Diceros bicornis minor: one gene and its partner. The protein of the gene in region 2 purifies or fractionates together with the protein of the main gene of each other region. This does not show direct contact. Links are inferred from orthologs where the notes say so. Each region holds a gene or a part of one and is shown on either strand. Other genes may lie near its edges.

The links. Proteins that work in one complex are often made in the same cells at the same time.
Region 1: the proteins of POLR3B (region 2) and POLR2K purify together in Homo sapiens (affinity purification with mass spectrometry; 3 studies listed by BioGRID and IntAct, with this or other methods). This does not show direct contact. The link is inferred for Diceros bicornis minor from reciprocal best matches to the Homo sapiens genes POLR3B and POLR2K.

The regions. Positions count from the first base shown.
Region 1 is NC_080760.1:18,723,436-18,727,185, reverse strand, and holds POLR2K (DNA-directed RNA polymerases I, II, and III subunit RPABC4), read right to left. Parts: upstream 2,311-3,750; 5' UTR 2,236-2,310; intron 1,638-2,235; 5' UTR 1,629-1,637; coding exon 1,568-1,628; intron 1,237-1,567; coding exon 1,144-1,236; intron 493-1,143; coding exon 470-492; 3' UTR 282-469; downstream 1-281. UniProt on the Homo sapiens protein: DNA-dependent RNA polymerase catalyzes the transcription of DNA into RNA using the four ribonucleoside triphosphates as substrates.
Region 2 is NC_080764.1:17,802,268-17,806,017, forward strand, and holds the start of POLR3B (DNA-directed RNA polymerase III subunit RPC2), read right to left. Parts: upstream 2,432-3,750; 5' UTR 2,280-2,431; coding exon 2,208-2,279; intron 1-2,207. UniProt on the Homo sapiens protein: Catalytic core component of RNA polymerase III (Pol III), a DNA-dependent RNA polymerase which synthesizes small non-coding RNAs using the four ribonucleoside triphosphates as substrates.

The sequences.
Region 1 (3,750 bases), on a different chromosome or scaffold from region 2:
CAAATGAAAAATATAACTCAAAATGAGGTATGCACACTGACAGTAAGTGCATTGATACACTCTAAAACAAAATGATGCAAGAAGGTTAACAAACAGTTGGTGATGTTAAACAGTGGTTTCCAAGGAACGAACTTAATCACACCTTTAGAGGGCCGTAGAAAACTTCATTTTTAACAAGGGCCCCAGATGATTCTAAGTTTTGATTGAAAGTGCAATTTGGGGAAGCACTTTTAACCTCCATTGTGCGTCAGATTACATACACAATAAAATTAAATTGTAAATCATGTAATCGAACAGAAGTAATTTATTTATATAAACTATTAATAGATACTAAATACAATATGGTTTTAAAATGAAATCATGTGTATACAGTTGTCTTCATAAAGAAAAGTATACTAATCAAAAGCTATACAACAACATTAACAGCAAATCCAAATACAAATGAAGATATTCTTCTGAATTCCATGTCTCATCGAGCATCAAAAACCACCACTGTATTAAACTGAGTTAAGGACAAAAAAAGTATTTAAAAATTGATCTAACACTTCCAAGTCACTTTCTCTTTGCAATAAGCTTGTTTGTTATTTAATCTAAAATGCACAAAAAAATGGAATTCACTATTTACTATGACAAGTGGAAATGAACTAAAAAAACTATTTCTATTTTTATTAGTCCCCTTTCCAAAGTGCAAAAGACCAAAGCACCAAAAAACACTGAAGCAATGTTAAAGGTGATAACTTATTGATTTAAAAAACATTGTTAGTTACCACATAACAATTTACTCTCTTTCAGCTAATTTGTAAGCTTCACTTTTTCCATCAGGTAGCATACATACACAATATTGTGATTTCTCCTTGTATAATTTAGTTTGTTCATAAACTCAAGCTCAAGAATGAGTACTTTGTGAAATAGAGAATCCCTGAAAAACAGACTTAAGAGAACCAAAATCAACTAGTATTTAGATTATTTAGTATATGCCTATACATTGGCATACTGGTCCATGAAAATGCTAATCATGCCTTTTTTGGTAAGTAATCCAAAAGTTATTACCATTTTACCAGAAATTAGTCTTTGACTCGCAACCCAAGCATTACTCTTCACTTCCTCCCATCTCATATTTAGAAAGCATAGTTAAAAGGATACATCTTTTAGTCCTTTTCTTATACATTATTCTGTATCCACATTCTCTGCATCTGATTGGATCTCTGGATTTTATTTCATTTTCTGTGTGACATTCTAGAAAAGAAAACACATTTATTCAATGTCTAAAGGGAAATATTACAGACAAACAAATTATCTTAACCATATTTTTCACCCAGAACACCAAAATATACTCCATCTCAAGGGAATGTTGCTATCACCAATATATTAATGGGGAAAGAAAAAAAGATGTGGTGCAATGCACTTTTTCAGGACAGAAATCTTAATGAGAGGATTTTTTTACGGTTGCTAAAGTATTCTGCTTTATAACTTTAAACTTGAGCGACGCATTTAAGCCAAAGATAAAAGTAGAAATTTCAAAAAACTGAAATAAAATACCCTTACTTTATGTAAGTGCTACTCTTACCTCCACAGATATATATCATTGGCTGCTGCTTTGGGGGTTGAACGTCCTTCTGGGTGTCCATTGTTAGTCCCTGAAATCACAGACTTAAATACTGAATATCTCAAAGGGGCTCTTCACAAATCCAACCAGCCCTCATTTTTCTCTGAAAGCTAAAAACGTCCCAATTCCTAATCTGTACTTTTTCAAACCCTATGAGGTGTAAAGCACGAAACAAAAAAACAACATATTGCGCAATTACCCCCAAACTGGACACAAAAGTAAATACATTATACGTGTTATTTCATTTATACGTCATTTCACTACAATCTTTACAACACTCCTAGGAGGTATTACTCTCCTTTTACAGATGAAGAAACCGAGGCTTAGAAAAGTTAATTTGCACAGGATTATTCAGCTATTAAGAGGCAGAAAGATTCAGATCGACTTTAGCAGGAGATGGCCACAAAAATAATACCCCTCAACAGGGGAACAAGCGAACCGAAGATAAGGGAAGGATAATGAAACAACCCCCAATAGCCAAACAGCTCAACTGAAAGAAACCAGGCAAAGGACTAAAGCATTGACTCTATCCCCAGCCTCTCCCAACTCTAAATCCACACCAGACCTGTTTAACCCGAGTATCTTGCCAGTTTTGGCCCAAAATCCCAACCCGCCAATTCCCTACCCACCTAGCAAGGAGAACGTTCTCACCCTACGGTTCCACACAGATTCCGGCTCGTCGCTCCGTCTCAGCCAACTTCCGGCGTTGGTGTATGACGCGGAGTGGAGTCTCCGCCCCTTCCGCCCTGGGCGTAGCCGAAGAACCCGGATTGAATACAGGCGGTCAAGCCGGGCGTTTTGCATATTAGGCTTAGCGGGCAATAGTGCATGTTAGCGTTACAGCTATTTTCATTTTTCAGCACGTCAAAGCATTTTAACAGTTCCTCAAGTCAAAGGAAGTTCGTTTTCCTGACTAATGTAGTCTGTAGAAAGTAACACTTTTCCAGAAGGGCGGGGGGTTAGAAGAGAAACCAAAATGACAAGTGCCCGTGGAATCCTAGGCTAACCATTATTCCGAGGAACGTGGGAGAATCGACTTCACTGCTGATTTTTCACGTGGAAAAACACTTTTCAGATTATGTTTTTCGAACGGTTTGATATCTGTGCTGGGGCGGTGGAGCAGACGCCTCCTATCCTTCACATAATTTCGTTTTTGCTTTTCGACCCTTTCTGTTCTAGGCTCCTGTCATCCCTCTCACCCACTCCTTTCACTCATTTTAAAGCAAAGGCGGGCGTGAGGGCAGCTACGTCAATTACTCCCACCTACAGCTGAGGGATTTTGGTAGCGGTGGCTATCCACTGACGCTCCTTCCGTCACATGTATTGTCCTCCAGAACAACAAAGTAACCTGCCATGTAAGGTTGGGTTCTTTCAAAGATCAAAATTTCAGTGAGATTAATGTCAGTTGGTTTTACAACATTTACATTCATTTGCTTCTTTCACAGTAGTATTTTACTTACAACAGAAGGAGGAAGAAGAAAATGAAGTTATTAAAATTTAGAAAATAACCAGTCGTTAACAACTATTATAGTTAATCGGAGAAGCAGATTTCTTTCTCCCCAACATGCACTACATCTTTGCTTTCTCACTAAGCAGGCTATACTGCTTTCCCATCTTGCATCCAGCAACTTGAGAACTTTGAGCTTAACCTGTCACTTTCAGAAGGAGTTCCAGCTGGTTGCACCTCCACAGACCAACTTGTGAGATTTAACTTGATATTCCCAGTCTTCCTAGCTGCCAATTTTTTAAATTTCCAGGGAAACACACCGGAATTTCCTGCTTCTTCCTCCACAGACAGGCTAATATAGAGCATAAATATTTGGACCATCAGCTCTCTCACAACATACTTCTCCTCTCAACCAAAGAAAAGAGGTAATCCAATAGAAGAGTCAAAATAAGCTTCCCTACAAGCAGTGTTAGATAAAACCATTGTTATCATGAGAGAAAGATAATGGAGTGATCCAGAAAGTGTAACTTTAATCATTGGAAGCTGTCCTGGATTCTGACTTCCCAGTTAGGGTATCAAGATGATTCTGGCAGGGCCGGCCCCCTGGCTTAGTGGTTGGGTGCGCACACTCGGCTACTGGCAGCCTGGTTTGGATCCCTGGCGCGCACCGACGCACCACTTCTCCAGCCACGCTGAG
Region 2 (3,750 bases):
AAGGCGGATCTAGCAAAGGAGACTGAGAAGGTGTGGCCAGGGAGGGAGGCAGACAACCTGGAGAAAGTAAAAACATTTTTCAAGTGTAAAGTGAGGTGACGAAATATATGAGAAATCTCTGTACCTTCCTCTCAATTTTGCTGTGAACCTAAAAAGCTCTAAAAAAATTAAGGCTTTAAAAAAAAAAAGAAGATAGTCAGGCAAAACGAATCTAAGATGATAGAAATCAAAAAGTGGTGGGGATAGACTGAAAGAGGAACTTTCTGGGGTGATGGAAATGGTCTATACCTTGTATTGGTTGGTAGCTATTTGGGTATACATAGCTGTCAAAACTAATGTAACGGAACACTTAGTATTTATGCATTTTACTGTATGTAAGTCTACAAAGAGGAATGAAAGAAAGATCAGAAGGAACTATACGAGAAGAGTAGAAAGATCTTAGGGGTGGGTGGGGGATGGAAAAAGGCTGGAGAAGTAAGCAGTGGCCAGAATGAGAAAAGCCTTATTAACATGGTACAGACTTTAGATTTTGTCCTAAGAGCAACAGGCAGAGACTGAAGAATTTTAACCAAGGGAACAACATGATCATATTTGTGTGTTGTATGTTTAAAGTGATGGCTGAGAGGAGAGAACAGACTGGAGTGGGACAAGTCAGGAGCCTAGGAGGCAAGAGATGACTGTGGTTCAGACTTGCAGAATAGCAGGAATGAAGCTTCAGACTTGAGTAGATTTTGCAGGCGGGACCCTTAAGATGGGATGGTGGACTGGATGGAGAAGGCCAGGAAGAGGAACTGTTATTCCTGAATCAGAAGGCTGGAACTGTGATTTTGGTCCCTTCATAGCTGTGCAAATTCAGGCAGGAAATATAAATCCTTTAGGCTTATTCCTTCAGCTCTCTGGAGAAGGAGTCCAGTCAGCAGTTAAGGATGAAGACTCTGGAGTCAGACTACCAGAGCCCAAATTCCAGATCAGCCACTTACCAGCCTTCTGACACTGGGTTAGTTACTTAGCCTTTCTGGGCCTCAAAACCCTTCATTGGCAAAATGTGGTGAAAACAGTCCTTACTTCAGAGAATTAGATAACGAAATGCCTGTTAGGCTTAAACAGAGCCTGCCTCATAGTAAGTGCTCTTAACATTAACTCTTCAAGAGTTAAAAATCCAGTGTTGCCTCATGATGATCAGCAGTGTATTGCAAGTACTCACAGATCGAATCTGATGGACTGATTATAATGTGACTTTATTCATCTGCCAAATGATTATAAAGAGGTTCTTATAATCCAATAGACTCAGGGATCATGTCACTCTCCCGCTTAAACCCTTCAATAGCATCTCACTGTTCCTTCAGATGTCTAACAAAACCTTTCATGATCAGGACTCTTACCTACCCTTCATCTTTCATCTCTCCTTTACCCTTCTCCACTCCTACTGCATTTTAGCTCCTCAAAAACATCAGACGGTCTTGCCAACGGGGTTTCAAAGAATCCTGTTCCCTCTACCTGAAATCTCTCGCCTATCTCAAGCCTCATTTCTCCAGGTCCTCATTCCACGCCAATGAAGATTTTGAGGCCCAGAGAGATTATATGAGCCTTTCATACAACCTGTCAACAGCTGAACTTTATCAGGTAGCTCACTGTAAGGCAGTTATCCTTAATTTCTGATAATCTGGTGCAAGCTATGGGGCTGCTCCCCAGAAAACACCTAGGAAAAATTTTGAGTAGATGTTGGGGGAGTTTAAAATACTCCTGCAGCCCAAACTTGAACTCCAGGTTAAAAGGAAGGAAAACTAGTCTGCGATTCAGACGACTTGGTTTTGCCACCACAGCCAGCTGCAGGACCTCACCACAGTGGCCCAGGCTCCCTGGACCTCACTGTCCTCTCCAAGCCCGCGAAGATGCAATACGTCCCCCAAGGTGGGCGAGAGCCAGCCCTCCCCCGACACACAAGAACACTGGACAGGGTCCAACCCTAAAGGCGCCCGAGGGGCCGCTCGGCCCCCATGGCGGCTGACAGCTCGTCAACGCTGGCGCACGCGGCGGCCGGCTACGGAAAGGAGGCCCCCCCCCCCCACGTGGCGGCCTGCGCTTGCGCGGAGTACTAAGCATGCGCACAAGCCCCGGCCCGCAGCCCTCCGCGCCGAGAGCTCTCGGGGCAACGCCTCCAGGGGATCGTGCCGGCCCCTTCGGCTACCCGCGCGCCGTGCCCTCACCTCTACAGTCGGGATCGGCGCCGCCAGCTGCTCCGGGGTCAGGTTCCCAAACTCCTCCGCCAGGACGTCCATGCTGCTCACGACGAAGGAAGAAGCAAACAGAACCCCCACGCAGGCTTTCGCTGCCCCAAGCAAACTGCACCGCCCTTGGACAGCGGTGCGTCGAGGCCTAACTGCTCCCCGCCGTGCAGGTTAATTGAAGGCGCGACAGAAAGGTTCCGCCTGCCCTCTGCCCGAACCTACGGTGGAACCCGGATGTGATTGATGCGAACCTGGGAAACTGCGCCCCCTGGTGTCGCTCGGAGGTCTCGCCCGAGTAATCCTAAACCCTAGCCAATAGATTCATGGCCAGTTATCCCATCATTGAGACCAATAAAGCATATTGGTTGTAATTTTTTAAATGATTCAAAGAAAAGGGTAAACGGATAATGTGTGCGACTTGAGCCACCGAGGCAGAGAATTCATTTAATTGTCCAAAACTACACGTTGTATAGTATGGAAAAATAAGATACTTACCAAATGCCTAGTAGTAGGGGATTGGTGTAAAAAAATTATGGTGCAAGTGTGATAGAATATCATACAACCATTAAAATGACCATAAAGTGAGGAGGAATTAAATTACTAGAGAGTAGAGTATAACAGGACAGTAATTAAGACTGTTATACTCTAAAAGGACTAGAGGGAAGATCTAGGAAGAAATACCAGGAAGTGGAGAAATTTTGTATGAAAAGACATTTTAAATCAGTAGGGGAAAGATGGATTATCCAGTAAATGATGTTGGAACAGCTGATTAGCCATTTAGGAAAAAAAATACATCTAAGTAAATCCTATATGGATTAAATATTTAAATGTTAACACTTGAGAAGAAAATAAGTGAATATATTCATAACATTGAAATGGTGAAGGCCTTCAAGGATGGCAACAAAGAAATTGTAAAGGAAAATATTCATGGATTTGCTAATATAATTCTAACCATAGTTTTATGATTCCATGAAGAATTTAAAATTTTCTGAACAGATTTTTAAAAATCACGACAAATAGAGTTTTTAAAAAAAACAAGTTAGTAGAAGACAAATGGTTGGTATCCCTAATTTAAAATGAACATATACAAATCAATAGGAAAAAAAATCCCATTGGAAAAAACAAGGCAAAAGATACCAACAATTGTTTAATGGGTTTGGAGTTTCAGTCTGGGAAGATGCAAAAGTTCTAGAGATGGATGATGGTGATGGTTTCATGACAGTGTGAATGTACTTAAGGCTACTGACCTGTACACTTAAAATAGGTAAAATAGTAAATTTTATGTATGTTTTACACAATAAATTATGAAAATTTGTAAATAAAAATTTGCTGTTTTCTCATCATGAATGTAGAGCATCGTGTTAGTCTAATTCCTGAATTAGGTACTTCAAGTAAATTTCAATGCCTGTATCTTCTAAGTATTGTGCTGATGTCTGAAAGTAGGAGGAGAAAGGAAAGAAGAATTAAAAGAAGAATCAGCTCCTGCTCTTGAAGATCTTACAGTTTCCTAAAGAGACAGATA